4 linked regions of the Drosophila melanogaster genome follow. The protein of the gene in region 1 interacts with the protein of each later gene in a pairwise test. Each region holds a gene or a part of one and is shown in the gene's direction. Other genes may lie near its edges.

Region 1 (7,908 bases):
CATTTTCCGTTTTTTTTTTTTTTTATTTATTATGCAGCACTTTATTAACCACGCGCTGCATTATTGAAATATACTCCCTACCAGAATTTTGAACTAATCCAGTTTGTGTTTGCAGGAGATCAAACGCCTTGACGGTCCTATAAACGAGATTACTTCAAACTTCAGCCCACCAGATTTGGATTCGGATATAATTTTAGTGGCATTCGTATTGGAAGAGTTCTCATCTCACGTGTTTTATACGAAAATTGTACAGAAATGTGAAAGCTTTAAGAAACGCACACAGCTTAATGCTCGATCAAATATTATTAAAAAATGCATAAGCAACTTAAATTGGTTAATTGTTTTATGATTAATTCGGGGATATGGAACTGCAATGAGCTGAAATGAAAAGCTTTGAAGATTTAAAAAGTATTAAAACATATAAGCATAAAACCCTTTCAAATAAAAAAGGTTGTATCCAAATGTTCTAAACAAAGTTCTTTTGATCGTAATAATCATTCTAATAGCTTCGTTTTATCGCATTATTTTAGTAAATTTATTTGATCTAACTCGTATCTTATTTAACGGTATCATTCAACAGCTGTTTACCTATGCTACCACCAATCTGGCAACACTGCAAAACCGATCTGAAAACATATTTTTACGCAAGTCAAACTGGCACTTGAATCTATAAATAGCAATCAAAAAGAAAGCTAATAATTTAATATAGGTGAAAAACAGGCAATTTATTTTTATTTATTTTTATTTATTGTTATTTATTGTTACGCAAGTCTAACTGGCATTAAAATCTATAAATAGCAATCGAATAGAAAGCTAATAATTTAATATAGCTGAAAAACAGGAAATTTATTTTTATTTATTTTGGAAACATTCATTTTTTCTATTTCTTTTATGCCGAAACCCGCTCGATTTGATACGTTTTTTCGTATTTCCGGCAACATAAAATAAGTCAGCGATAAGCGAAATTGAAATAAATAATTTAATTTTTATATTACTTCCAAGGCCTTTTTTATTACAGTGCACTTCCAATTTGCGTCTGCTTAAGGTTTGTGTATTACTTCCCATTGGAAACAACCATAACCTGTCCTAACCGCTAATAATTGTTTAATGGTGAAGCAGATATTAAAAAGTAGCGCGTTGCCTTCGCATCTGTTTGTATTTGCGAGCGTGTTTGTGTAGCGATACCGGGGCTCAAGATGCATATGTATGTACATACATTTGGGATTTGCCAAAATCTTTGGCTTAAATACATACATACAAGCAACCAAACATTTATGGGGGATTTTGTGCGACTGGATTCATTTGTTTTTCGGGTCACAAAAAAGCGGAAAATGGAAACGCTAATCTCGGCTAACCAATAACAACGAAAACCTTGCGCTACCGCTAAATGTTATCTCTTGTTTGAATGTCAGCGCTTAGAGAGCGTCTTCGCACGTATGTATGTACGGTACAAACATACGTATGGATGGATGGATGGACAAGCTTCCAGCGGTTTGTGTGTATGTATGTACTTGGCTTGCACGAAAGTTTCAGTTTCCTATCGAAACACGTCTTAAATGTGTATTTATCATCGGCTGTGGTACGAAATGCACGTCGGTGTATGCGTGCGTACGTAATAGTTGATATTTCTCTTTTTTTTTATTGTTACAGCACGGTTGCGTGTTATGTTTTGCATTTTGTTTTGAAAGCTCCGAAAGCTGTGCTTTATGTAAAAACATACGTACACTTGCCAATGTACGAATGTTTGATTGCACGATTGTATGTACGTACGTTTGTATGTTCGTTTGTACGTTAATACTTGGCGTGTGTTTGTGTATGCGGTTAGCACAAATCCAGCGAGAAAGAAACAACCAACGTTGGCTATATGTATTAACTTCAAAATAAAGTTCAGTTTAAGCTGGAGCGCAGTCGAGGTTGCGTCGCTTGTTCGTTCGGTCGGCTTTTTGGTCTTTCGGCTTTCGGCTAGTTCCTATATTGTATGTACGCATGGTAAGCATGCGTTCTCTTTCGCTTTTCAAGTCTCAGTTTCAGTTTTCAGTCTGTTCGATTGCGTTTGCATAGCATTGCATTGATTTAACAATAGCTAAATAAAGCTTAAAGAGTGTATCTGTGATTTATTTCTAAATGTGACCGCTTTGAGCCAATTTGTGCATAAATATGTATGTACATATAATGCTTTGGATTACATGAATCGCTATTGCCATTTCTGATGCACAATGATGTATGTATGTACGCAAAGAGCATACGAATGCATGGCTTGCATTACGTGATTTCATACATCTGTGGGTGTATGTATGTATGCACCATCGAAATGGCAACTCTTACGCATAAAAATTGCAAATGTGTATAAAGCCCCACGGACCCACACAGCCACATAAACATTATCGGACGCAAATGTATACATACAAAAAAAAGTTGGCTTGGTGGCTTAATTGTTGTTGTTGTTTTTTTGTTGATAGTGTGCACACAGTGCGAAATTAGTGTGATTAAATGTGGAGATGTGTGATTTAATAAGCATGTGGGAAATACAGCGAGAGTGATTGAGATGGAAAATGGGAGATGTACAAGCTGAACTTGCCCAGAAACATGTATACACACGTACATATGCATACGTTTGTAGGATTATGCTCGGCAAAGTGAAGTATTTCCTTACAAGCAAACACAGCCATATATGTATGTTTCTTTTTTTAAACGAATGGCACAGTAAAACAGAGACCGGAATAGATGTTGTCTGTACATATGATACTGTTGATATGATACCATAGCCATAATTTAATAGCCTTTTCATGTAGCATATGCGTCTAGCTATGCAATATCGGGCATGCATAACTGCATATCCTATGTACATATGTATATCGAAATATGGGATAAACATATCACTTGACTAACACATATGCATACATGCATACATACATACACATGTACTCATTAAAATTTAAAGATGCGTGCACAAATTTAAACATTGATAATATAAATTTATATGCAGCGCCGTGTGCATACATACATACATATATTATTTTCTAATTGGAAACGCGTTGGCAATGCCTAATTGGTTTGATTATAAAATTAAATTTCTTCATTTGGTCGCAGGTTTACGGTAACTCTCTGATTTTTAATAGGGTTTTCATATAAACAAGCGGGGTTCGATGAAGTGATATCCCCGGTTTCCCGTTATTTGTTTATACCTTTTTTTTTTTGCTTTCAATTGCTACTGAGTTCAGTATAATGCTATTTCAATAAATAATAATGTTAATTCAATTTAAAAGCTCGGGTTCCGTAGTGGTGAATATGTTAATTAGAAACATGATTAGAATGGGCTAATGCATAATTCCCCTATTGCAGACCCACTGCATCTTACACTTCGGGGGACTTTCTGACCGAAAACAATAGAATCAAATGACATGTGGATACACATGTGCATAGATACGTACATATGTATGTACAGAGATATGTACATATATGGCTTACTCATTGTTAACACTTACCTGTAGTTCCCCCCAGGTGATTCTGTTGTGTCATCCGACGAACAATGGATCATCGCAAATAGGCACTTCATTAATAAGTAAGCACAAACCGTTTCGGCCATAAATATCTGTGATATATGAATCATTTTGGCATCTCTGGTTATAAAAAGCCCACGTTTAACCGGTCCAAGGTTTTTATTTGGGTCTCTCGCACAACACAAATTCAATCTACAATTGAAGTGCTTTTTCGTGTTCTCTTGCAGATACTAGATCGTGAGATACGAGATCAAAAAAATAGATTCATGAGTACGACAACAGGAAAGGGAAACGTCGCAAAAGGACTCTTCGGGAGAATCAAACTACCTTAATACCATTAGCTAAACTTAGTTAAATATGTCAAATACGACGAGGTCCAGCCGAGTTACCATCGGTAGAATTGGAACCACGCCACAGATCACAGATCCATGGTCGTCCGGCTTGGAGAAGCAGCGACCTTCCCGCTGTGGAGGCCCCAAATCTCTCGCAGAGCCAACGTACCGAAAGATCGGACGGCGAAAGATGATGCTCCATATGCGAGTCCATGACCCTGGAACGACTGTAACACAAAGAGCAAAAGAAACGGCAACGGCAAAACTCAATAGAATCTATTTATGTACATTTAACCGAATGGCACAGAGCTGTATATATTTTGTATTATTTTTAGTAATCCTAAGCCCAAATACTAGTTGTGCTCTACGGAGTAGTGCGGGTGAGACTCAGAATTATGTCGGAATACTCAGCAACGATAGTGCAACGACCACATATGATGTGTCGTCCCTGCACAGCAGTAGAAGAACAAATCCCCCATCATCATCATCATCATCATCATCGAATGTTGATGTTGATTATCGTAATGACAGAGAGCTCCACAAGGTCGACCTGGTTGGCCTGGGAGGTGAAAGAGCGGGTCAAGCTGAGACCATTAGCGGCGGCAAATACGATTATAACTATGAAAATACTCACACAAATGCCAGTGCGAAAGATGAAATTGTTGAACGGCAGTCAAATAGCCTCGACTTCGACGGGGTCGATATGTTTGGCGCCTTCAGCATTCCGGAAGAGGCGATATACACAAATGAGTTCGCCGTCAACATTCCAGCTGGCAAGCAAATGGCAGATGTTATAGCTACCAAACATGGATTTATCAATAGAGGACAGGTGAGAATGTTTGTCCAACGCTGCAATGGAATTGGTGCTCATACAATTTACTTAATTTTTCATAGATTGGATCGCTGGACAACTACTATCTGTTTCAGCATCACCATGTATCGAAGCGTTCGCTGCGCTCTAGTCGCAAACATCAGGGCGCCCTTAAATCAGAGAACGAGGTGTGTACTCTCTAAAAAAGTATCCAGTTGGAGCAGAGATTTCAATCATGATTGCCTTGCAGGTGAAATGGATGCAGCAACAGCACGAGAAGGTGCGCCGAAAGAGGGACGGCCCGTACCAGGACTTACCCACCTACAGTCCGTATAATCTTTTACGCCAACACGGCGGCTACGTTGTCGATCCGAATCCGCATCTTTCATTCTCCCCAGAATCGATTTCGTTAGCCTCGCACTCACAGCGCATGGAGTACCGGGATGTCAGCTCGCATTTCATCTTTCCGGATCCGTTGTTTAAGGAACAGTGGTATCTGGTGAGTAAAGTATGTAATCATCTCTCATTTAAATGCATGCTTCATGAATCCATATATATTTTATAGTCCATTAGTCTATTAGCTCGATTCTCTATACCATCAGCGTAGTTTCCTTTGAGACGTTCAATCGATTGCTACTAACCGTGTTAGTGTTGATTTTGTTGATTTCGAAATATTTTCTTTTCATTTAACATGCTTTATTTGTAAATGTTTGGATTTCTTTGTTGATTGATTGCCTATTTTTTGCTTATCTCTTCGCCAATGTCATGTTTAATAATCAATTTGTAAATTCCCACAAAAATCGCTTTGTAGAATGGCGGCGCCAAGGATGGCTTGGACATGAATGTGGGTCCCGCCTGGCAAAAGGGCTACACCGGCAAGGGCGTGGTCGTGTCCATTCTGGACGATGGCATTCAGACAAACCATCCCGATTTGGCCCAAAACTATGTGAGTATCCCAACAAAAAAAAATCAATGATCAATTGTTAAAAATACTATTTAAACGCAGGATCCCGAGGCCTCTTTCGATATAAATGGCAACGATTCGGATCCAACGCCCCAGGACAATGGTGACAACAAGCACGGAACCAGATGTGCCGGCGAAGTGGCCGCGGTGGCTTTCAACAATTTTTGCGGAGTGGGAGTGGCCTACAATGCCAGCATTGGTGGTAAGTGATCATGGTTGATATGTATTAATTGCAAACCATCTAAGCTGTTTGTGCTATTAGGAGTACGAATGCTGGACGGAAAGGTCAACGATGTGGTTGAGGCCCAGGCATTGAGTCTTAATCCGTCACACATCGATATATACAGCGCTTCCTGGGGACCGGAGGATGATGGCTCCACTGTCGATGGTCCTGGTCCGTTGGCCCGCCGAGCCTTCATCTACGGAGTGACCAGCGGACGACAGGGCAAGGGCTCGATATTCGTTTGGGCCTCTGGCAACGGTGGACGCTACACTGACTCCTGCAACTGCGATGGCTACACCAATTCGATCTTCACCCTTTCCATTTCGAGTGCCACTCAAGCCGGGTAAGTTGACAGGATGTAGACTTGGATTCTGATTCAGTAATGTTGTTGCAGCTTCAAGCCCTGGTACCTGGAGGAGTGCTCCTCCACGCTGGCTACCACCTACAGCTCCGGAACGCCGGGACATGACAAGAGCGTCGCCACCGTCGACATGGACGGCAGCCTGAGACCCGATCATATATGTACGGTGGAACATACGGGCACCTCGGCATCGGCACCACTGGCAGCCGGCATTTGCGCCCTGGCGCTAGAGGCCAATCCGGAATTGACTTGGCGCGACATGCAATACTTGGTGGTGTACACATCAAGACCGGCGCCACTGGAGAAGGAGAACGGATGGACACTGAACGGTGTTAAGCGAAAGTATAGCCACAAGTTTGGATACGGTTTAATGGATGCTGGAGCAATGGTGTCACTGGCGGAGCAGTGGACATCGGTGCCGCCGCAGCACATCTGCAAGTCGCGGGAAAATAATGAGGATCGCAAGATAGATGGTGCATACGGTTCCACCTTGTCCACGCATATGGATGTCAATGGGTGTGCGGGCACGATCAATGAAGTGCGTTACCTAGAGCATGTCCAATGTCGCATTACCCTACGGTTTTTCCCGCGAGGAAATCTTCGCATACTGCTCACCTCACCGATGGGCACCACCAGTACCCTGTTGTTTGAGAGGCCGCGCGACATCGTCAAGTCCAACTTCGATGACTGGCCCTTCCTGAGTGTTCACTTTTGGGGCGAGAAGGCGGAGGGTCGCTGGACACTGCAGGTGATCAACGGCGGACGCCGGCGCGTCAATCAGCCGGGCATCCTGTCCAAGTGGCAGCTGATATTCTATGGCACTTCCACTCAGCCCATGCGGCTCAAGTCCGAGCTGCTGAACAGCAGTCCCCAGTTGCGCAGCCCAAGCAGCTCCAATCCGTTCCTCTTCCCATCGGCCTCGAACATTGGCCAGCCTGCCAACGAGGGTGGGAACTTCAATACGGATAGCTTTGCCAGTTACCTCAACTATCAGAACATCTTTAGCAGCGCTGGCTCCGATCCGGAACCGGCAACAGCTACATTGGACGGTCAGAATGTGACCGCAGCGATTGCTGGCGGCTCGTCGGCTGAATCCCTTGGATTTACCGCCTCTGCTGCTCAACTGGTAGCGGCGCCCGAAACGAGGGATGGCGACAAGAAGATCCTGCACTCCTGCGATGCCGAGTGCGACTCCTCCGGCTGCTATGGCCGTGGACCCACACAGTGCGTTGCCTGCAGTCACTACCGCTTGGACAAGTAAGTGGTACCAACATGCGCATTTGTGGAGCTCGGGTGCTAATGGTTTTCTGTTTACAGTACTTGTGTAAGTCGCTGCCCACCGCGTTCCTTTCCCAACCAGGTTGGAATCTGCTGGCCCTGTCACGACACCTGCGAAACGTGCGCCGGTGCCGGACCCGACAGCTGCCTCACATGTGCTCCGGCCCACCTGCACGTCATCGATCTCGCCGTCTGCCTGCAATTCTGCCCGGACGGATATTTTGAAAGTAATAATCTGGCTTTGTTCATCAAAAATTTGCTATTGTTAAACAATTATTTCTTTGTACTCTCCACAGACAGCAGGAATAGAACTTGCGTTCCCTGCGAGCCCAACTGTGCCTCATGCCAGGACCATCCCGAGTACTGCACTAGCTGTGATCACCATTTGGTTATGCATGAGCACAAATGCTACTCGGCCTGTCCCTTGGATACGTACGAA
Region 2 (9,572 bases), about 15 Mb from region 1:
AAGACTTACATCTCATCGGGTTGGGTATATATTCTGACACCTTAACTGTGTGCCAGGAAACCGTTAGTTTACTGGGAAGAGTGAAACGGTCGAATGTTACGAGAACTTTTCCAAAAGGTTTGGGGGTGCCGTCGATCATTTTGGTAAATTTAAATACGCTGTGTACATTTTGTGATTTTAGTTCCTCAACAATTTCGTTTTCTGGAATGTTAATAAGACAGGGAGCGTAAATGGTGCCTTTGACAAAGTTAAGAGTGTTGTGGAGCTTGCACTCGATATCGCATAAGCCAGGTAAAGAAGTCACTTTGATAAATTTGTCACTAATTTCCCTGGAGTTAACCAGCAAGAGAAGGTTACCATCCCGAAGATTAGAGATAGATGTAATGTCTTTGCTGATATACTTAAGGGCTCTATGGACAGCAAAGCAGTTGTAGTCGGATATGGTTTTCGGAGAGTTTTTTGATGAGACCACTAAATATCTCGGATTTTTGCACTGCGTTTCAGGGAGGTCTGGGAAATCAACTTGTAATTTTTGAAAGGGTCTTTTTTTCTTAGCTTTGGGGCTAGCGCTGAGACTGGCAAAGCGATTATCCCCCAAATTGAGTGGCCCGGGGGCCATGGTTAATAAATTTATGGATATTGAATGTTTTTGATTTGCACGTACGCGTTGATAAGAAGATCAAGAAGATAAGATGATAAATATCAATGTAACGGCGATGGTAATTACGCGATAAGCAAAGCTCACACAATTGGAAAGACACAGACGTCCGCACTCGAAGAGAGATAGTCGGTGACTGCGTATCCTAAATTAAAAATGATAAATTAAGCTGGGTGCTCGGTTCTTGGGAGTAGGATCTAAGCATAGAATAATGATGGGGGACTAGGAAACAAGCCTTTTACTGGATTCCCGAACCAGTTACGCTATTCCTTTAATTTTTACTTCACAGACTTGGTAAGCAGCACTTCCTGTCAATTTATGGAGTTATATAAGGAGATTTATCGCCGGATTGATAATTAAAACTGCTCGACATGTCGGGTGCATGTTGGACATGGACTCGGCAGACTGCAGACTGGCGGCGTGGTGGCGTTGTGGCTGTTATGCAAATCGTGCGACTGGGAAAGCAGTTTACTTTTACTTTTCAAATCGATTATATGTGCACACAGCCGCCATTTCGTGCCCGCCCAGAGCACACTAACCCACTAAATCGCTTCAAGTGGTATTTTGGCATTCGGAACGAAATGGGTTTGGGCTATGCAATTCGCGAGCTTCCCAAGTGGAGTCGTTAACCCGCCGCCGAAGTCATTATCTAATGGTAATGTGCTGCATTTTAATTGCTCACTTCGTTCGTTTATCGATCGAAGTGGACGCACCTTTCACCCGACACTTGCAGCTTGCAGTGGGGATTGCGAAAATCCCTTCTCTTCATCTCAATCCATCATTAATCCATTCATCATTAATCATCAATCATCAGGGATTGGCCCATGAGTGAACTGTCGCGAGCAATCGGGAAGTTGTCTATCGGTGGCTATCGTTGGGATTGGGAAAACGATTGGCAATGGTGATAAACTAATAGAATTGCAATTAGCCTATAGATGGTGTTTACTGCCCGATCATTAGTGCTTGTCCTTGGAATTCAGAAGGATCTTTCACGTGGGCAAAATTGATTACATTGGGCCTCTCTTTCCGTTTTGTGATTTTTTCTATTTGCCTATCTTTGACCGTCTAATTGCCTTGCACTTGCATCGAATTTTTCAACGTCAACTGGTTTTTCAACTGGGTGGTTGTTAACCCGTTGATTGACAACGGGTTTCGGTTTCTCCTGCGCAGGAAACTGGCCGCCGCCGCAGCAAAGGCCACATGCCGTATACGTAATCCGCTTTAATTGAACCACTATCGCACGCACCTATTTTCCAAATTTTCCAAACAATTGTGGCAGGCAGCGGTCATAAATTACAACAACAGACTGAAGTTCGTTGCCGTGTGTTGCCATTGTTGCTGGTGTTGCACATTTCACATTTCGCTTGCCACAACTCCAGCTACAGGTTGGCCAGCGTTGGTGGGATTGGCCCAAACCGGGTATAAATCGAATCTGGTCCCGAACGCAGAGCCACATTCAGTTCGCCACTGCCAAGAGGAGCACTTCGCGTAACGGTCTACAGTTTCGAATATTTTTTTTGATTGTGCCCCAGTGTGTGATTCAAAAGCAACCAGAAAACCATGCTCAAGTTGGCTGTAAGCACCGAAACACTTTACAAACATAGATTCGTTTAATGGAATGAACGTTTTCAAGTCAATAAGATAGTTTATGAAAAACAAGAACCAAATATTTCTGAATATTTCGGAATGGAAAATGGAATGCATGTTCTGTTTTTCAACCTCACCACCTCATTAACAACTTGGAAATATATTTAACATTAGATTTTTAGTTTAAAATGGAATACCGCATTGACTATATTACCCATTCCTGCAGATTACCTGCCTGGCCCTTCTGGCCGTTAGTGGAGCTCTGAAGATCCACGACTACCACCAGGGGCACGAGGAGTACGAGCACCACGACCATCATGAGCACCACGAGCCGGAGCACCATGTGAAGTACGAGCCGGAGCACGAGGAGACGGAGCTGCACCACGAGGTGGACCACAAGCACGCCACCTCGCACCAGAGCGTCAAGTTCCACCACTACCATGCCGTGCCCGTCTACATCAAGAAGGAGGACCAGCACCTGGTGAAAAAGCCTATCGAGATCGGCGGCACCAAGCAGAAGCTGAAGATCCTGCACCCGAAGAGTGAGCACAACCACAACCACGGACTGGTGCTCGAAAACCACAGCGAGTCGCACCACGAGCACGGCCACTACGAGGAGCCGGTGCACCACTCGGAGCACTACGAGCACTACTCGCACCACGAGTAGGACTTGGACTACCAGAATCGGAAATGCCAAATGAGCTGTGGGGATTTCGTTAGCGTTTAAGGATTTGCTACGTTAATTTTCTTGTGTTAATAAAGCGTTGACCTAGAGTATAGAGTACCACCCAAATCAAGAGATCTTATATTATATTGCTTAAACTTTTTTGATTGCTCCACTCTGAATTTGCCACAACTTCTTTCACAGTGTATTTAACTGCTCAGGTGAACTTCGATAACGATCTATCAATAATTGAACGCGCAGGCAATTTATCGCACCACGACCGCTTGTGGTATTTCTGTGTTCTGGTATATTTTTAGGTTCAACCCTGGCGAAAAATTGTTTTTGGCATAACTGCTATAAAGTACTGAAGAAATTCAATAATAATCTTAACAATGGCAATTAGACAAAAAATGGTTTAAAACACTTGATGCCTTCCAGAGGCGGACGGCATGAGTTATCGAACTATCAAAGAACTGCTGGCCCCGATAGGTTCCGATACAAATCGCACCGCTATCGAAGAAGAATTGACTTCCATTGTATATCGTTTGGAAACGCAAGAAGTGCACAAAACTCGCTGCTTTCCGGTGCAGTTTGTGAAGAAGTTTGCTAAAAAGTGAGTATTTTGCACCTGCAGAGTATTCCGTGGCCGCCGCTGGCTGCTTCCCGAGGACTCCGTGCTGCCTACGCTTTTTCGTGTTGCTTTTTTCGGCTGCACGGCCCCAAGCCAAAAAACACGGACGCATCGCCTGCCGTGTGTATGTGTGCGTGCGTGTATGGGCGAGTGCGCGAGTGTTGGTAGTTACTTTTCCAGCAGCTTTTTCCAAGTATTGCGGGTAGCGCCGGAGTTGCTATTGGGACTCCCTGGTACGGACCCCTAAAAAGACCAGGGGCGGGCAGTGGCAGGCTACCGAGTGCAACCGCATTCCAGCAAAGCTGGCGCCCTCCGTCCGGCTCCTCCCCCTTGGCTCGGCTGCCGAGATGTACACACACATATTCGGATTCTGATTTTGCCGAGAGGAAGTGCAGTTCCGGAGTCCCGAGTGTGGAGCTGCGCTCAATCTGCATCCTGCAGCCGCGCAACAAGGAGCATCGCTCGTCCCTACTGCGACTCCTAATCGGAATCCCTCTTGAACTTCTTCTTGGCGAACTAATTGATTTGCACTCTCTTGTATCGTTGCAGCTCGTGGCGCCAACTGCGACGCAAACACGCAAGAAACCCAGACAAACAGGAGCTATCAAGGCTTGACACAGAAGGTCATGTCCAACGCGGATAAGATGCAGGACCAGGAGCACGACGACGAGCAGTCCTCCGACATAGAGGTGAGTTTTTGGATTCTCTTAGCGAGCCGACGAACCTGTTTTCACGCGTATATTCCCGACTATTCGCTGCTTCGGTGCAGGGATCCGGCGACAATGTGGGCCGTGATGACGGCACCGACGATGACGACGACAGCAACGGCAACATGCAGCAGGAGAATGGAGATGGCGGCAACGGTGGCGACGGCCAGGAGCACTCTGGCGACGAGGAGCAACACCACAGCCAGGACAACGAGGGCAACGATAACTCCGCAGGCCAACAGCAGCAAATGCAGCAAGTGGACCGAACCAGCGCCACCAATCTGATCATCAATTACTTGCCACAGGACATGACCGACCGCGAACTGTACAACCTCTTTAGCGGCTGCGGGCCCATCAACACCTGCAAGATAATGCGCGACTTCAAGGTAAGTTCGGTTGTGGCCGCCTGAGCGCCCAGAATACCTGCTGAACTGCACGTAACAGGTGCCATCCCTGTCGCACGTTGCATGTACACACGAATGCAGCTTACACTCCCCTCTGCTTTGTATGCCCGCCAACGGAACAGACCGGATATAGCTTCGGCTACGGCTTCGTGGACTACAAAACGGAGTCGGACTCGGAGGACGCCATCCAGAAGCTAAATGGCTTCTATGTGCGCAACAAGCGATTAAAGGTGCGTTAGAATCCCCCGGAATTCCCATGACTCCTTTGTGACTCTCTTTTTCGTCTCCCTCAGGTGTCGTATGCTCGACCGGGTGGGCAGTCCATTAAGGATACGAATTTGTACGTCATCAACCTGTCGCGAAACATCAACGACGACATGCTCGACCGCATCTTCTCGCCCTATGGCCTGATTGTTCAGCGAAACATCCTGCGGGATAAGCTCACTGGACGACCGCGCGGCGTTGCTTTTGTGCGGTGAGTACGGGTGCGATCTGCGTGTGCAGCATCCACGATTCGAAATTAGGTCACGGTGCTCAATTCCCGTCCAGTGTGCCCCACTTAATTGTATGCTCACAGAAATCCACGTCCAAATTTATCATGAGTTCGACTGGTGGCTGAACTGCACTTACTTCGATTCTGCTTTTGAAACCCGCTTTCTTGCTTGCAGTTACAATAAGCGCGAGGAAGCTCAAGAGGCGATCAAGGCGCTGAACAACACGGTGCCGGAGGGCGGATCCCAGCCAATCTGGGTACGACTCGCCGAGGAACACGGCAAGGCCAAGGCGGCCCAGTTTATGGCCCAGATCGGAGGTGGCAATGGTGGCGGAGGCGGTGGTCCGCCCCACATGGGCCCAGGTGGACCGATGCACCCACCTCATCACCACAATAATCACCATCACAACAACCACCACAATCCGCATATGCCGCCGCATCATCATCAGCCGCAGCATCCACACCAGCATCCGCAGCACCATCCGCAGCTGCACCACATGCAGCACCACCATCCCAACAACCACAACAACAATCACCCCAACAACCACCATCATAACAACAACAACAACAACCACCACAACATGGGCGGCCCGCATCCGCACCACATGCAGCAAATGCACCCGATGGGCATGAACATGGGCATGGGCGTAAACATGGGAATGGGCATGGGCATGGGCATGCCCATTCACGGAGGCGGCGGTGGTGGTGGTGGCGGCGGCGGTGGAGGCGGTGGTGGTAACTTCCACCACATGGCGCACAGAGGTAGATCAAATAGAACAACACGATCTCAAAAACCGCATCCATATAACCATGCACAGAAATTTATTTAAACGCCATTAATTTCTTTACACGATATTAGCTGCATCTCACAGGTGAAGTGTTCATGCTGCCATTGCCGATTTGCAGCCGATTCCCCAGCCAGCCGCATCCCGTAGGCAATGGCATTTGCCACAGCCCCAACAAGAACAGCAGATTCCGTTTAAGCCGCCGCCCGCAAGCCTCCAGAACAACCATCAGATATATTGCGCATTCGGTGGCAGATCCCGTTCCCACTCCGACTACCTAGTGCCGCTCTACTTTCCAGCCCCCGCCCATCCATCAGTTGTTTCCATCTCCTCGCCAGCTGCGTCACTTTCGGCCTACCCAGCTGTTTTGGCCGTGTATGTTCCGGTATATGTCACGGTTCCGGTCTCTCTTCCTGTTACCATGAACAGAGCCAGTCCACAAGCTTAAAGTGAGTGCAGACGGAGGCGGCGGAGGCGGTGGCCACATGGTAGAAGCGAGTAGAAATAGATTGAGTGCAATCGGAGGAGGGAAGAGGAGATATTACCCAGAAGCGATATCCAATAGTAGCCAACTCTCTCGCTCTCTATGTGTATGTATGTATCTTGCTATCCATATATGTATATCCATATCAGAGAGCCAGGATTGGTTGAGACCATACGATATAACCCGAAACCACACTGGCCAGGAATAGCAAATCCAAGCATTGGCAGCAAGAGGCAAAGCAAAGGTGCACGGCAGACATAGGCAGTACCACAAGAACACTATCACAGAATTAAGCAGAGCAAATTAAAGATGCATAGCGTGTATTAAGATGTACGAAATAATGTTCCAAAGTTAACCAGCCTACACAATCCCCAACAACACACACACACACACACATAAAGACGGTCGGAGTCGAATCCTTGATCGAACCACATAAGAAAAAATTCCAATGAGTTTGTATGAGCAACATACAAAGCCCCAAACGCAAACCATCAGCCACTCAAGACGAGACGAGAACGCAACCAAAACTCAAATATAACTTTCCTGCACTCATCTCCAGTTCACGAAACAATCTTCGCTCTTGGTGGATTGCGAATTGTAAATGAATTGAGTAACTGCACGGATGCAAAGCCCCAAGATGTGGCGACTATTCCGGCCGGACACTGTGAGACGGACGTTACACACACGGATATATAGAGAGACGAACCTTATGACAACAGACAGAAGACGCTTGCTCTGAATAGATGGTTAATTTGTAGACTTATAAGGAACGTCGACAGCGAGGGTTCGTTCGCGTCACTTGCTTTTTACTACATTATAAATAAATTATTGATGTACTACCAACAAACCAAGAACAAGAACACCACACTATACAAACACCTATATATTAGATAATATATATGAATGATGTATAAATACCCGAACTTCGGGTAAACTTCCAACAGAAACCCGACAAGAAGATGGCTGAATATGAAATAAACTTGAAATTTTCCAACCAGCATACCCGTGAGACCCAGAGGTCCGAAATTTTTTTTTTTTAGTATTGATAATCTCTAAACGTAAATCCTAGTCTCGTAGCAATATCATAGTTAAGGTGACTTTTTTTTCAGAATAAACTTAAAGCACGAAAGAAATACATGTATTTAAACCTTAAATCCTAAAGTTTATAATAAACGAACACAAATTGAATTCTTGAGTCTGCGAGCGAGATGGTGCGATGCAGCCTCAGCGAAAGAGAGCGAGAGAGATGATACAGATTTGAGGTACAGTCAGCACAGTACAGTGCGGATCAGAGCTTAAGTTGACGATATACTATTGTTGTAAATTGATGTTAGGCTAAGCAAATAAATAGTTAAAATGTTCAATTTTCGCTTAGCTGAATCCTGATCGTCGTAAAAACGCATTTACACGAACATTATATACTAGTCATTAAGCGGTTCTATTTGACAGGTGAAAACAAGAAGCTGTGGCAGCCTTTTACTACAGAAACTAAAAAAGAAAAATACAAAGCTTGACATATACACGCATATTTGTGAACAAACTGAATTTTACCATACATCTTTGAGAATTTTAGGACAGTATTCTTGATAATCTATATTGAATGTTGATCTACACTTAACGTTGCACAAAAGAGGTATCTTTCTGACCTTCTATGCGCGTGGAGTGGATCCAAAAAATCAACTTGGTGTAATAAATGTGTATTTAAATCACAAAACGGGCATCTTTTCCCTTTCAATTGGACATCAGAGAGTTTCGACAACGCACACCTACTAGTTTTTTTGCGAGCTTAACTATTTCAAATGTGGTTGAGTAAAGCCATTAATATTGCTTTTTATAAATTCAGCATAAGTGGCAAGATGGTTTTAAATTGCGCGCCACTGCGGAACTACCTGGCATCACTGGCCGCCACTTATCGATAGCCACTGGAAGGCGAGAGAGAGAGAGAAAGAGAGGGCGCGAATCAGCTGCTGGAACGAGTGTTGTTGGAAGGCAGTGTTGTTGGAAGTGGCAGCGCCTTCCAATGTCAATTAAATAAGCAAAACGCGAAGAAAACCCAAGCGTAAAGGAGAGTCTCGTTGCCGCGCTCGAATAGAAATCCAGGAAATCAGTATCAATTCAACCGCCCTTGACACATCCACAACCACTTTGACATCCGAATCCGTATCCGGGCGAGGTGGCACGGCTGGCAGGAAGAACGTAACGTGAGTGGCTGCTCTATTCTATTCTATTCTGTTGATTCAGCGGAGTACACTACGCAATAACCGATAACGACCTTACCACCGCTCCCCTCTCCGCGCCCATCCGCAGCGGAGCAGTGGAGCACCCCCAGTCCAACAAGGAGCTACCTGCTCGAGATGCCCCAGATGAGGGCTGCGGCCGCTGAGGCGGTGGCCGCCGGCAGCGCCAATGGCCAGCCGCTGGTCAAGATTGGGCACTACCTACTGGGCGCAACCCTGGGAACGGGAACCTTCGGCAAGGTGAAGATCGGCGAGCACCAGATCACACGCGTCAAGGTGGCCGTCAAGATACTCAATCGTCAGAAGATCAAAAGCCTGGACGTCGTGGGCAAGATCCGGCGTGAGATCCAGAACCTAAAGCTCTTCCGCCATCCGCACATCATCAAGTTGTACCAGGTGAGTTCATGGCTCCAAGCTTAGACTTTCTAAGTCCAAGCTTTCCAGGAAACTGGGTTACTGGTTTCCTCTTCCAATTACGCTGGCCAGCTACTAATAACAAACAATCAAGCCGCAGTTTAATAAACAAAAAGGCAGGATATGCCCGAAGGGGGAATAGCTTTTCTATAACAACATTTTGGAGGTTTGTTTATCTATAAAGTACACGGTCATGCCTAGTCATCCGAATTTTGTTGCGGAAGGCAAATGCATATCTAGAAACTGGGCCACTGGCTAGACATTCGCAACAGACATAGAAGCCCAACTTAAATGAGCAAAAAGTTTGGAAGGAAAGTTTATAAAAGGAATATGTACGGGGTCTGCTTTGGTTTTACAAGCACATTTTCCCTCGATTTTCGGATTGGATCAGTTACCAATTAGGTTAGGCAGGGCTTGGGGGAACCTAGGGACGGCTGCAGTCATCAGCTGATATAAACGTGCTTGCTAACCTTTCCGTAACTCTCCGAAGGTCATATCGACGCCGTCG
Region 3 (6,449 bases), 7.1 Mb from region 1:
TAATTGCAAAATAATTAAATATATATGAAAAAGCACTATTTATCCAAAGTTTGGCACAAGCTGCTGATGTTTGTGGGTGTAATTATACTTTTTAATTTACTTGTCACTTCAAAATTATATTGAAATTAATATTTGCATTTAAATCATTTAAGTTCTTGCACATTTCCATATTTTTATACAGTTCGCGAACTTTAATAATATTTAAAATGAAGATATCGACACTGGTTAATTGGTTAATTGTTTTGCAAGTGTAGCCAATATTCTTGGCCCGATTGGCACGGGAAAAAGACAGTTGGACAAAGCCACGAGAATCACGAATCTGCATTTGTAAATAGCGTCTGGGTCCGGGAGTTGTCAAACGAATCGAGGTCTCCGGGTGGCCCGGCCATTAAGATTAAGCCCAACCGACTTTAGTTTATTGCGACCGCAATTCAGATTAAAATGTGGGTTATCATCAGGTGGAGTCCAATAGATACATGCATATATAGATAGAAGCTTGGTGCCAAATTCCTATATACCTCTTGCTCACTTTTGCACACCAAACATATATATCTTCATCTTAATCTATAGTAATTGGGTTCAGATAAGGCTGCTCTCTTTATGGTTAATGCAACTAGTTACCCCTTTAATTGTTATTAACATGTACTTTTGGGTACTTTAAGTTCTGTCTGACAGTTGGCCCATTTTAGAGCTTAACTTGATATATTTTATTATATATTTTATTATACAATATAAAGCATCGTAACACAAACCATTCAAAATCCAATTAGATATTTTTTAAGAATATTTATATTAAACGTATAGCTCGTTATCACTATTAGGTTACAAAAAAAAGTTAGAGCTTTAAGTGGCTTTTGCCAGATATATGGTTGCTAATATGGTAATATTTTTTTCTAGTGAAAAACATTAAACAGTTACCCGTTCTTCCCCAAATAAACTTCTAATAATAAACGCAGAGCCATTAAACATTTAGATTGCGTGACACCAGTTGAGTTCTTAAAGGTCGTGTGAGTTTTACTACATACATATGTATGTACTTACTTAACTAAACTTAACTAAAAAGAACTTACCATATCGAAGCCAACTTCGTAATGGGTGCCCCTGGTGTAGAGCACTGGCACCGCCTGGCGACGTGGCAGGATCTTTCCGGAGGACATCTTGGAGATCTGTTGATCTAAAATGGGTTCGGGGTTCGGCGATGGGAACAACTCTTTTTTTTTTGTTTTAAGCAGTGGAAAGCTCTTTGCACTCGGCGCAAAATAGAAAAGGTAATCAAGAATAAGACGCGTCTGTTGATGATAACAAAGTGTGAGTTGTAAACAAACAAAAAAACAAAAAATAGTTAGTATTCCAATCAGAATGCCAGCTGATTTGTTCTAGAGCGCTTGAAGGCAGAATTCAAACTGATTTGTTTTGTTTTCGCGCCGACGAAGGCAGGCGTCGGCAGAGAGCGCTGCTGCAGCGTCGGCGGCGGCGGCTGCGTCGGCGTCGGCGTTATCGATTACCGACCGTTAGTTAACCCACTAATGACCGAGATACACGCTGTGTAGTTTGGGTTAAGTTCATTAGAGGGGCTGATGCAATTTTGCAGTTATAACTATGACTTCATACTTTGCTTTTTAGCAAGTCCAGAGATCAGCTGGGAATATATATTGTACATATATACTAAATTATTTTAGAATCAAGTTCACTGACCCCAAACGGTTATTTCGGAAGTTTAGGAACAAATGTAAATTTTGTTTTAACTTCATTTTATAGTGTAACATAAAAAATCATCGCCCAAAACCGGCTGGGGTTAAGGGCCGCTTAGAACTTTCAGATTCCAAAAACCATAGATTATTCAGCCTACTTATTAGAAGTTGTTGACTGCGTCCCAAAAAAATCTAGATATTAGAATGCTTTCGGCTGGTAAGTCAATTAGTCCGTCGTCTAATAGGCTTTGCGGCTTAATGGAACGCTTTTTGCCTCATTGTGTTACCCCTTTTCTTTGCGTATACGTAATATGAGTGCTGGAAATATCCGGCATACCCCGATGCTACCCCCTCTTTCGACCAACAAACTGACCATGAATATTTTCGCTTTTGTTTGCCGACCATATAAACACGTTTTCGATTGTTTCGCCGTTTTCTTTTCTTTCCATTTATTGCCTTTTTAACTGGGTTGGATTTTGCATTCCCCGATTTTCTGCTTAATTTTCACGCCAAATGAAAAGCGTGAGAACCGCGAACATACATAATATTCATTAGCGAATTATAGATTGGGTTTGGTTTTCAGTTCTAAATTTTCAGACTTCGCAAATTAAATGCGAATAAATAAATATTTAAGCAATCAATCCAGATGCCACTTGCATATTAATTGTATTGTTTTTCGTTGTATTTTGTTTGCCATCTGAGAGAGAAAGAGAGATTTCCAAGTGGCCTACAATCGCGATGATAATGATACTGAAAATGATGATCGTGATAATGATGTCGCAGAGCAACTTTCTCAGTTTATTTTTTTTCCCCCTATTAGCATCACAATTAAATGTTTTTTATTAATTTCGTAGCGCGAAACTGAAAATTAGTATTGGCGATATGCGCCGATATTATATAAGTGAGAATATCGATTAGGTATGAATGAACACGGTAATTTCCCCGATAATTTCGATAGCTGCGAACAGATCAGGTCGCTTTCATTATTCAATTTGTATTAACTTTCGTTCGTTGTTGTCGTCTGGCTGGCGGCTAGAAAAATGTATGCATCGCATTTCAATAATAATGAAAACAAAAGTTAAAACAAATAAAACAACCGCTAGTTTCGGTGCGATGGAGAAAGGGCGAGGAGGGGGGCTAGTGTGGATAGAGCGGGATAGTGAGATTCCGTCGAACGGTGATTGCAAGAAAATGACATTTTACAGTTGCCCCCAAACACCCTACACTCACCTGCGTTTTGGAGCATCTCGGTTTTATGACACCGTTGGCAGCGCTCCATCGAAAAACCTAGAACTACAAAGTATTACTCATACATTCGCGAATTAATAATCCTTTTTATATCATACATTATGATATCCTTATTATATAAGGCATTATTGTTAATAATTATATAAAAATATGGAATATTATGATCACTCTTTTCTTTAGGATATCAGTACTAGGGTCCAGTGCAGAGACGTCAGAAACTGATAAAAATTCGAAGATATTTATTAATTTTTTTTAGAAAGAAACGCATGATGCAGAGTGGGAGATTCCACGCTGCGTAACAGAATGGAAACTTTATATTAATTTTATCAATTTACAAGAACTCATGCAGATAGCTTGTATGCAAGTTCTTTAAAGATTAACAAATTAATCGGAGAATAAAAATATTAGTAACATAATGAATAAGGTAATAATGGCAAAAAGAAATCCATTATTAATTTGCTAAAAGAAAGGTATACACGCACAAAGGGCATTTGAAGGTCGGCGCAGGGCAAGGTGTCATCCATTTCACCCGAGGGCTCCGTAGGTCAAGATGCTTGTCGTCGCCAGCATTGGCTGTTGTATATAAATTTTGACAAAAGAAAGACTTCGGTTTAAACCAATTTTGGCAAGGCGGCGACCATAAGGTGATGACCACTCGACGCGACGACATGGCATGGATTAGCGGCCGTTCCCACCTGCTGGTGCCTGTGATCTTGGTGCTGTTAATACCGTTGGTCGCGGGCTTCGGCAACGAGTATGTCCACATCAAGGTGCATGTGCCCAAAGAGGAGTCAGCGGCGGAGGAGTCGCCACACAAGGTGATCCACCACTACCACCACCATCCGCATCCGCATCAGTTATACCGCAATCGGGGACGAGCCCGTCCCAAGCCCAGTCCACTGCTGGAGAGCGTAATCCTCTCGGATCTGGACAAGCCGCTGCACATGAGCGAGCATGCGGACTATCTGAATCACGCCAAGGAGCTGGCCGACCACCTCACGGAGACGTATGCCAAAAAGGCAGCTCCTCCGCCGCCGCCGCCGCCCAAGAAGAAGGTCAACACTTATACGATCATTGAGGAGCAGCACAGACCACATGGCTACGACTACGAGGATCACCATGAGCCCAGTGTGGAGACTTATCGAGTGATTGAATCGCGACCCAAGCAGCAGCACCATCATCACACTCATACTCACCATCCGGTTGAGGAGGAGGAGGTGGACGACGATTATGGATATCACTATCCGAGCGGGGGAAATCATCATCATCATCATCATCATCAGACTGGCGCCTATGCGGAACCCGCACCAGTGGAGGAGCACATCGACCAGGAGCCGGATACGGGCTATAAGTATTCGCCACACAGTCACGCCTACATCCCGCCCAGCCACGGTCAGGCCCAGCGGAGCTCCAAGCAAACCAGAGCGCCAGCGTACACTCTCGAAGCTCCGCAGGAATCCTCCTTCGGATACGATTACTCGCGACCCTCGGCCGGAAGTAGCACTGACTTCCGGCCATCCGTCCAGGTGCCATCCAGTGACCCGTACGGCGAGGAGGAACCGGCGGACACCTATGGACCACCGCTTACGGCCACAAGGCGTCGCCGGCCATCGCAATCCCTGGTGGATTGGCCCGAGTCCAAGGGATTCAACAGTGCCGCGTCCGAAACATACAGTGGCGTCGATAGCTACAACGTGGGTCATGTTCAGGGCTATGGATCCAGTAGCTATCACCAGTACAGTGGTGGGCCCTATCTGTAGGCGTTCCAACACCCCGTCTAATCTAAGATCTATTTATTGCACTTTTTTTTTCCTAGCTTCGTAAGTCGATAGTCAGTTTTCAGATTTAAGCGATAAATAAATAAATGTTTGTAAACACTTAAAGAAATGTTATTCAATTTCTAGGAATCAAGTTGTTAGAAGTAATAAACAAAAGGTTAACTTATTTGTTTATTTATTTATTTGTTTCAACTCAATCCTAGCAGTTGGAAAGCACCAAGACCACTTGAAAATTATAATGTAATAAAAACGCAAATTTGAATAGTTGAAGTAATAAAAAAAAGAGACTGTCTAATTAGTATGCATATTATGATCTTGAATTCTCAAATTAGTTTATTTAAACACTAAAATCTAATATTCTAATGGTGCAAGAGTAAAATGCACTCATTTTTGTTATTGACTTCAACTTTGGATACCAACCGGTTCACTTGGCAATGGGAATTTAAGTATACTACTTAGTGCAATTATCCTAAGTCTTGATTCTATCTATAAAACGTATAATATATTTACATTCTGATTATTTATTATTATTTCAAATACGGAAATCGTGTTTGGTACATTCATACATGGACTACTGTTCTCAGTGTTTTTGAGGAAGTCAGTTAGGCTAATGGATTTCTCAGTTGTTTGTTGGCCCATTTAAAGGGAGATCCGCCGCAAGGATAAGGCCTGTCCATCCATAAGGGTTTCACTTCCGAGCAGTCAACGATGAGCGGCCATCTGGGTCGGGTCCTGCAGTTCCACCTGCGGCTCTACCAGGTGCTCGGCTTCCATGGGCTGCCGTTGCCGGGCGATGGGAATCCGGCCAGGACCAGGAGGCGTCTGATGGCATGGAGCCTGTTCCTGCTCATTTCGCTGAGTGCCCTCGTACTCGCGTGCCTCTTTAGCGGCGAGGAGTTCCTCTATCGCGGCGACATGTTCGGCTGTGCCAATGATGCCCTTAAATACGTATTCGCCGAATTGGGCGTGCTGGCCATATATCTGGAGACGCTGAGCAGCCAGCGGCATTTGGCCAACTTCTGGTGGCTGCACTTCAAGTTGGGCGGCCAAAAAACGGGCTTGGTGAGCCTGCGCAGTGAGTTCCAGCAGTTTTGTCGCTATCTGATATTCCTGTACGCCATGATGGCCGCCGAAGTGGCGATCCATTTGGGATTGTGGCAGTTCCAAGCGCTCACCCAACATATGTTGCTCTTTTGGAGCACCTATGAGCCGCTCGTGTGGCTGACGTATCTGCGCAATCTGCAGTTCGTACTGCACTTGGAGCTGCTCAGGGAGCAGCTGACCGGCTTGGAACGCGAAATGGGTCTGCTGGCGGAGTACTCGCGATTTGCTAGCGAAACGGGTCGGAGTTTTCCTGGATTCGAAAGTTTCCTGCGCCGACGACTAGTGCAGAAGCAGCGCATCTATAGCCATGTGTATGACATGCTCAAATGTTTCCAGGGTGCCTTCAACTTCTCCATTCTCGCCGTCCTGCTGACCATCAACATACGCATCGCCGTGGACTGCTACTTCATGTACTACAGCATCTACAACAATGTGATTAACAACGGTGACTTGGGGATCTATCATTTAAGTACATCATGTAGTATATATGGAGTATCATCCTACAGATTACTACCTAATCGTTCCCGCCTTGCTCGAGATTCCCGCCTTCATATACGCTTCGCAGAGCTGCATGGTCGTGGTGCCCAGGATCGCCCACCAGCTGCATAATATAGTCACCGATTCCGGT
Region 4 (7,766 bases), about 12 Mb from region 1:
CACTTGCCTTGTGGCAGGGGCGTGGCCCCGCCTCCTTTTTCCGGGTCGTTGAGGTCGTCGGCGGCTCACTTTGTTAACAACTTGGCATAAAGTTGTTTGTCTTTCACCTCGGCGTGTCGATGACATCACAACGTCGAAGTGGTTGAGGAAAATCAGGGAACGGGTGGAGAGTTCACAGGAAAAGTCCAAATGTATTGCGAAGAAAATCCACTAAGCTTAACAAACTTGCCCGCGGGCAAATTAAAATTTTAGTCAAGAGATCCAAATATTAGAGCTATGATAATAATACTAAGTCGATGCTATTTTTCGTTTTCTACAAATCTCGTACTTTAAACCATTTTTTCGGTGTGAATAAAGAAGCTGCAGTTTTTAGCAATAGTTCTAAGCGGTTGTAAAGTTAAGAATGGAGGACTGCAATTTATACAATATTCCGAAACAACAACTTACAGCCCAGTTCACCCATTTTTCCCATGAGGCAAAGCCAACAGATATATCGTTCTCATGGACTTTTCTCCATTTCCAAATTAAATTTTCCTACGCTTCGGAATCCAGCGAACTAACCGTCGGCCAAGGGTGTAAAAATCAATCAAACAAAACGGACTGACACTTGGACAGACGATTAAAGGAAATGGAAGAAAGCTCGGGGAAATTCGATATGCAAGTAAACGAAAACCAGACACTTTTGGGCAAGACAGATGGAAACCTTATGGATGATGGGCTGGGAAAGTTGGGAGATATGCTGCGAAAGTGTGTGGGGGGGGGAGGGGGCAAAATAAGTGGGGATTCTGTCATTGTTTCGGTCAAACGCACAACAACAGAGCGTTAAATTCACACAAAACGAGCAAAGATGAGTCCGATTTTGATTCCTAACCGTAGGTCCTTGGATAGCCATTCGAGCAGATCCTTGAAATTGTCCAAAATAAAGACTGGGACCTTGTGAGGGAATGTCAAGTAGATCTTTCTAAGATCCAACATTATACAATATATAATACCATATTTTTCAATAAATTATAGAAAGTTAACTATATATTGAAATGCGTGGCAAGGCGATAAAGTTTGAAAAACTGATTTACGCGATTTCCCCATTTTTCCTCAGTTTTCCTTTTTTTTCGGAAAAGAGAATAGAGAATATGTGTGTGTGTGTGTGTTACCAATACCAATATTTTTATGCAAGCCATTAGCAGCATAGATTAGTTTTGCATATCAAATGGCCGAAAGGAGTTTTCCGCCAGCCCTTCCGCTCTTCCCATTCCCTTTTTCCGCATTTTCCGCAGCACTTCAGCCGAGTGAATGAATCCTTCACAGCGGAGGACACGCACAAAAGCGCAAGCAAGGCAAACAGGTCAAGGATATTATGCATATGTGAGTAGGCAAAACGAAACAAAGAGGATGGTTGCCTGGATGGGTGGTTTTGTATGAGTGGTTGGGTTCGGTTGTGGACTGCGTGGGGGTGGTGCAGCGAGGAGTCCCTCATTTTGACTGTCATTGTCACCATCAGCCGTCTGCAGCGTCATCTTCATCTACATCGTCATTGTTGTTCGCCACTCGAAAGTCGCACAAATGAACGCGTAATTGTTTGCACATGAATACATTGAGTAAATATTTGCAAACACATTCAGCATTCCACCGGTTTACCTCGCCTCTATGCCCGGACTCATCACGTTTTCCTCGATTTTCCCCCGATTTTCCTACGATTTTCACCCGTTTTCCAACCGGCTTTCTTCCCGCTTTCTCCTCGGCTGCATTCTGCAGCTCAGCCAAGCTGAGCCATCATCATTTGCATGCCGGTGCAAAAGACTTGAATTGCATTGCCAAGTCAAAGAAGGCCTTAATCTGCTTACCTTGCCTCGGTGACATTTCTTTTCACACTACCCCCGTCCAACCGCCCCACGCATTCAAGCCAGCCAGGAAAATGGAAAATCGCTGGAAAAGTTGCTTAGCTTGGCAGGGCTTTGCTTTAATTACGGCTGCCCCGACTTTGAGAGCATAAACAAATTGCAAATTGTTTATGGCATGCAAATTAATCAAATCTCTTTCTCAATTAAGCCTGCAAGCCAAGAAGCTTCAAGCGAAGGAATTGCAATGGTAGAAGTGTACAGTGTACAGAAGGCCAAATAAAAGCTAGCCGGATAGGCAAAGTGAATCGACAGATGGCCCAACCGGCTGAAAAAAAGAAAGAAATATGGAAAAATGGAGAAAAATTTCAGTCAACACAAGAACTCACATAACTTGAACGCTTTGTTTTGGTTTTTTCTCAACTAATTGGGTACGTGAAATAGTTAATGAAAATGAAATGAATTAATAGTTTATTGAACTTCAAATAACTCCTATGGTATTCACTTTTAAGCACCTTTTATAAGTGTTTTGGAAGTACATAGAAAATATATAGCAATGTCAACATGCGAAGGATCTTATATGGTCTCCACTCCCCAAGCTGACCCTCAATGATCCCTAAACGAACGGATTCCCTGCGAAATGTCGCTCACATGCAATTAAATTCGCTCAGCTCAGTAATTTGGAGCTGTGAAGTTTCCATTTCGCAGCCCGGGGGGAGCCAACTCATGTAATTGAGTGTAAACTTGTCAGAGAATTTATTTAATGCCTAATCAAGTGATGTATAACACATGACTTACCCACTTCACCACCTTCGTCCCGCTACCATTCCTTTCGACTCTGACCGGTTTGCCATGGGTTAAGCGGGCCGATGATGGGTGGCGAATTGGGTTTTTCGGGGCATGGGTGTTAAAGTTAAAGTGTCAGTTGTAGCTTGTCAAAACTTGTGTTGTCCAATTAGCATAATTTCTTGTCTCAACTTCGGCCCCGATGCAACAGATACGTAATTCGGATACGAAAGTATCTACGACACATCTAAATTGCCGGATGCCTGGAATTCACTTAGGTTCCCATTAAATCGTTACGAAAACTTATCCTCGTCTGGATGGCATTTTCCGCTCAGATGGACTCCCCCATTAAAGAATGAAATGTAATTATTTCAGATACTCTAGCACAACAATTAATCATTGGGATCTAGGTGGTATTATGTGTGTGTGACGGTTGTGTCTGAGCGAGTATCTCAAGCATCTAGGACAGTCCCACCTTAAGCATATTCTTACTTTAAATCAAGTTATTAATATGTTTTTAATATTTTCCCGACGCGCAATACTAGGGCATTGTTGAAAAACCAGATTGTCAGTATTGTCAGTACCACTAGCATAGTACCATTCCACCACCATTCTTGGCAATTAGGGCCGCTACGATGGCCATAAGCGATTTTGGGTAGCCGAAAGAGAAAAATCAACAGCTGGCGAAGAGCGAGCCAAGGTCGTTCGCCCGGCGGTCGCTCTTTAGTGCGGGGAAAAACCGTTGGGGAAAACTCACCACGACGACGAGGATTTTCCGAGGCGACGAGGGCATCGCACGAGGCTTTTCCGTACGGCATTCAGTCTCACGTTGAACTCTGCTGCTGTTTGTTGTCAGCCGGCTGGTGAATTAACCCCCAGGACACAAACAGAAGCCAACCGATTTGGCTGAGCCAACTGAGCCGCTCAGCCAGCCGAAGGACGAAGGACCACGACCACGACAATTCGCGACGTGTTGTTTAAGACCAGAAACCCAGAAACCAGAGACCTCAGGTCCTTAAGGTGTCCTGTGATCGCGTGACGATAATTGTTTGTGCATCGTGTTTCGTACGAAAGAAAAATAAATTAACACTGGAAAAGTTCGCTGATCTCTGTGCGCGATTTTCCATTATTTTCAATAAATTGTTTTTTTTTTTTTTTTGTTTTTGTTTTGTTTTGCCGGCACCAGACCACGCACACACACACAGAGAGTGATAATGATGGTGATGAAAATCGAATCGAATAACAAGTGAATGCAACAAATGCGCATGAAATGAAAAATTTGTCCACACAAGTGTGAAAAACCGAAAAGTAAGAATCAGATAAAACTGAGATAATCAGCGAGCGAACGAGGCGAAGCCAGAAAACCCAATCACCCAAAATAAGCTGAGGGCCAAAGTGCTCCGAGAACGGTTAGTAAACACAAATTGTTTGTTTTCGTGGCTTTTTCCTGTGTTTGCCTGAGATTGGGGACTATTTTCTTAGCGGCTGATAAACACCGAGAACCGAAAAAGACCAATACAAGTGTGTTTTCTCCCAATTTATCCGCATCTACCCACTTAATCCACGATATTAGCTAGACTCTTTGAGAAGCGCCGAGAGGGGCGACGAACGTTGTCGCCTTGTTTTATGATTATGAATGAGTATATATTTGCATTGATATTTTTTTTTTTTTTTTTCCTAACGAATAACAATTAACTAACTATGTTTGGTTAGTAAGTTAATACAGTTGTTCCAAACATAGTTATTATTATAAACGTATATAAGATAGACGATTTCGAATAAATTCAAAGTAAATATTGGATAACACTTATCCAAAATGTTGACCAAAACCTATTTGCAAACTGTCAATGCGTTTGCTCTTCTGATGATAAATTCGGCACGGAGAAGAAGTGTGGGTCGAGGCTCAGGACCCTTATCTAGGCAACCCAAACGATGACAGTTCATTTTCCGGGGGATGGAGGCTAATCAATTCCGGCACCAGACCCCAGCGATAAGCAGTTGTAAATCAGGGCTTCATAAATATGGAATTGTGGAAAATAAGTGACTCCATCAGCCAGTGAAAACTATCCCTATTCTCTCTTATCCCCCTTCGCCGGAAAGTGTGACAAAGCAGGGGCCACGACAGGACAAGGACCTACATGATTTATAAGGCACATTAAATTGAATATTCAACATAATGTAGCATTTAAATGACCCACGCACAGCGTCGAGCGAGCAAATGTGTATATATTATAAGGAAATGTGGCACAAGACGGCCTTAAAGGTCAACGCGTCGGTTTTCCAAGGAAGAATGCAAAAAAGATGGGCTCTTTATGGCCAACTCCTTGCCATATTGTTTAAATGCGAAAACCGCTTAAAGTTTGGCCGGCGATTGAAATTCCTTCACTGTGGGGGGGGGAGGAAATACTCCACCAAAAAAGCATAAACAAAAAAAAATGGCAAAAATATTCGCACACTTTGCGTGTGCGTGTGTGGGGGAAAGTAATTTACCAACACAGTGCCAACGAAAGCATCATAAATCACACGTTCTGCCCAACTACAACTACAGAAAGTGACACTCGCTGGGGGCGGTAGGTGGTTGGCGGATGGGCGGGGGGCGTGGTGCGTTACGTGTCCAGGTCAAATGTCAAAAGTCAACCAATTTGGGCAACATTTTGACAGACACTGCGCTTATCCGCCGGCTGGCTGTTCATCATTGTGCAACACTGCCAACCGATTATCGCAAGGGCGTGATGAGTTACTCGCATTCCATCCCAAGAGGATTACACAAGTTTCAGAGTCCCTCCATCACCGCAGATTATTTCAATTTACACACCAGATCTAGTTTCAAGAAAAAGTCCCATGCTCGAAGTTCAAGCATTCAAGCATACACCTAATTCAAAACAATAAAAACACGTACAAAATATGTATTCAGTTTCATAATCTCATTTTTCCACACGCATGAGAGCAAACATGATTGCTTCACTAGTCTCAAAATATAAATATATTATATTTTAAACACTTTCATATCCGCACGAAACAGAAACATCAAAATTTCATTAAAAAGTTAACCATGTTTTGCAAATTTTTTAAAACTTTGCTGTCAATATCAAGCAGCGTAATCAATTTTAAAGTGCCAACAGTGTGTAAACTAAATTATTAACTTTTATCGAAACTAAAAGCTTATTATTTTGAAATGATTATGGTCAGGAGATATAGCAATTTGCGTATATGTAGAACCCATAGTTTATTGTTTCCATTAACTTTCGAGTCTGACTGCAAGCCATACATCCCTTTTCCAGCCCAGGTAATCACTCCTTTGCCAGCCCCTTGACCCGCAAATCATATTTTCCGGCCGTGGATTTATGTGCTGCCCTTCCTTTCTTCGCCAAAATGTATGGCCCTGGGTTAACAAGATGTTTATAAAAATGATATTACGATTTGCCTAACCCACAAGATGGCACGCACAATGTGTGTGTGAAAGGGATGTTGGATGGGTGACGGGGAATATGCGGGGTTTGGGGGATCCAAGGCCATTAGACAACGCATTAATCTAATCATATGAGTTGCTCTGTCTGTGTGCCAAAAATCATGAACTCAAAAATGGTGGCCCCTGAAAAAAAAAGAAAAAAAAGTTGGGCACAAAAAAAGCCAACACACAGAGAGACATTTGCAAGTTGATTTATAAGCGCGCTGATGTCAGTTACGTGCAAAATGGCAGCAAGTTTTTGGCCCACGCATGGGTTAAGAGAGGTTAAAAGGGGGGTGTTGGGTGAGTTGGCTCACCTGCTTTCGTGTGCCCGGGGTGAAAGGTTACTGGCGGGGGATTTGCCAAAGTCAGAGGCAAAGGCAGCGCTCGCTACCATTGCGCAAATTGCTTGCAACACTTTTTGTGCCATTCAACCCCGCTTCATTCCTTGGCTGCCTTGGCTTTTATAAATCGTTTAGACACCGTTCCCCCCACCTGCCCCCAAGCCCACCAGCCCACCAGCCCAGCAGCCTACCTGCCCGCCGCGATTTTCCACCACCTGGATAACAACAACAGAGGAACGGTGGCGACAACTCGAGTCAAAAGAAGCCCGAAAAACAGGAAGCCACTCCCGTTGCCGTTCGCGTTCCCATGCCGTTTGACCCCGAATCCCCACCGTTTCGAGCGCCACTCAAAACACATCCATCAACAGCGTATTTATATGCGAGGCAAAAGGTTAAAGGTGTTTTCTTTATTTTATTTTTTTTTTTTACTTCTTCCACTGCTCCTTATTTTGTATCCAAAGAGAAAGCTCCTAATTGTCAGGACTTTGCTTTGGCTTCAGCTTGTTTGGCCCTCTTGCATACTTTTGTGCGCTCGTCGCGTAATGAAGATAATTGCTGCTAAGCGGATCCTGCAGGATTTCTGAGACACCTTCGCGTTCTCACACCCGTTCATAAAATCCGCAATGTTTCTGAGCGGATTTCCCGGTAGGCGGGGCGAAAGTTGGCCAAGCTCTCATTTATTTCAATTTAATTTAGACTTTGCTAATTTCAACGCATTTTTATGATTTTGGTTTCGTTATTTGGCCATTAGTTTTCAACTTTAGGTATACTTTTAGGCGATTAAATTCCAAGTTCTCGGACTTTAGAAATACAAATTTTAAATTCAGCTGCTGTTTTACGTTATATTCCATTATTGCGATTAATTTTTTTTTTTTTTTTTGGCTTAGTTGCTTACTCATTTCAACGTTTTTAATTTGCATGGGCGAGGACGAAGGACTTCCTTTTGCTAAGCAGCATCTCTGGTTGCTTTAGCGAGGACGACCTGCATTAATTAAATTCTTTCAGGTGTTAAAAGGTGTCGAGTCTGCAGCTATTGTTAATGCAGAATAGAGGGCGAAAGGGCGAATGGGTGGCTAATTGGTAAATGCTCTGAAGTGCCACGGCTAACGAGGCGTATGCGTAGTGCGAACAAAGTCAGAAGAGGCAGGTGCTTTTGGCCTAATCAGTGGAGAGAAGTTCCTACCGGATTTACCATTTAAGCTATACTAATCCCAACCCAAATATCCTAGCATATTTCGATTTCAATCGTAAGTTTTACACTCGCCTGTGAAAATATATACAATTGCTCACAGGCCCAAAATAATTCTGACAGACGTAAACATTTATGACCAAAAAAAAAAAAACCCACGACAA

What was found.
Region 2: the proteins of Fur2 (region 1) and ssx interact in a two-hybrid assay, tested with the Drosophila melanogaster proteins (one large-scale study listed by BioGRID).
Region 3: the proteins of Fur2 (region 1) and CG15370 interact in a two-hybrid assay, tested with the Drosophila melanogaster proteins (one large-scale study listed by BioGRID).
Region 4: the proteins of Fur2 (region 1) and CG42594 interact in a two-hybrid assay, tested with the Drosophila melanogaster proteins (one large-scale study listed by BioGRID).

What each region holds. Positions count from the first base shown.
Region 1 is NC_004354.4:16,371,199-16,379,106, forward strand, and holds the start of Fur2 (furin 2), read left to right. Parts: upstream 1-1,887; 5' UTR 1,888-1,989; intron 1,990-2,023; exon of another isoform or gene 2,024-2,225; intron 2,226-2,431; exon of another isoform or gene 2,432-2,636; intron 2,637-3,342; exon of another isoform or gene 3,343-3,562; intron 3,563-3,727; 5' UTR 3,728-3,857; coding exon 3,858-4,661; intron 4,662-4,726; coding exon 4,727-4,831; intron 4,832-4,893; coding exon 4,894-5,151; intron 5,152-5,454; coding exon 5,455-5,589; intron 5,590-5,649; coding exon 5,650-5,809; intron 5,810-5,869; coding exon 5,870-6,173; coding exon of another isoform or gene 6,174-6,177; exon of another isoform or gene 6,178-6,224; coding exon 6,225-7,448; intron 7,449-7,508; coding exon 7,509-7,696; intron 7,697-7,765; coding exon 7,766-7,908. Other genes in the region: nonA (no on or off transient A), read left to right, coding at 116-349. UniProt on the Drosophila melanogaster protein: Furin is likely to represent the ubiquitous endoprotease activity within constitutive secretory pathways and capable of cleavage at the RX(K/R)R consensus motif.
Region 2 is NC_004354.4:1,367,142-1,376,713, forward strand, and holds ssx (sister-of-Sex-lethal), read left to right. Parts: upstream 1-3,438; 5' UTR 3,439-3,522; intron 3,523-4,089; 5' UTR 4,090-4,166; coding exon 4,167-4,229; intron 4,230-4,309; coding exon 4,310-4,633; intron 4,634-4,732; coding exon of another isoform or gene 4,733-4,773; coding exon 4,774-4,881; intron 4,882-4,944; coding exon 4,945-5,126; intron 5,127-5,319; coding exon 5,320-5,906; coding exon of another isoform or gene 5,907-5,974; exon of another isoform or gene 5,975-6,016; coding exon 6,017-6,210; 3' UTR 6,211-7,536; downstream 7,537-9,572. Other genes in the region: CG14770 (uncharacterized protein), read left to right, coding at 2,219-2,233, 2,472-2,912; AMPKalpha (AMP-activated protein kinase alpha subunit), read left to right, coding at 8,768-9,046, 9,555-9,572.
Region 3 is NC_004354.4:9,221,870-9,228,318, forward strand, and holds CG15370 (uncharacterized protein), read left to right. Parts: upstream 1-3,567; 5' UTR 3,568-3,586; coding exon 3,587-4,699; 3' UTR 4,700-4,819; downstream 4,820-6,449. Other genes in the region: t (tan), read right to left, coding at 1,071-1,157; Gr8a (gustatory receptor 8a), read left to right, coding at 5,426-6,266, 6,328-6,449.
Region 4 is NC_004354.4:4,837,411-4,845,176, forward strand, and holds the start of CG42594 (uncharacterized protein), read left to right. Parts: upstream 1-3,422; 5' UTR 3,423-4,030; intron 4,031-7,766.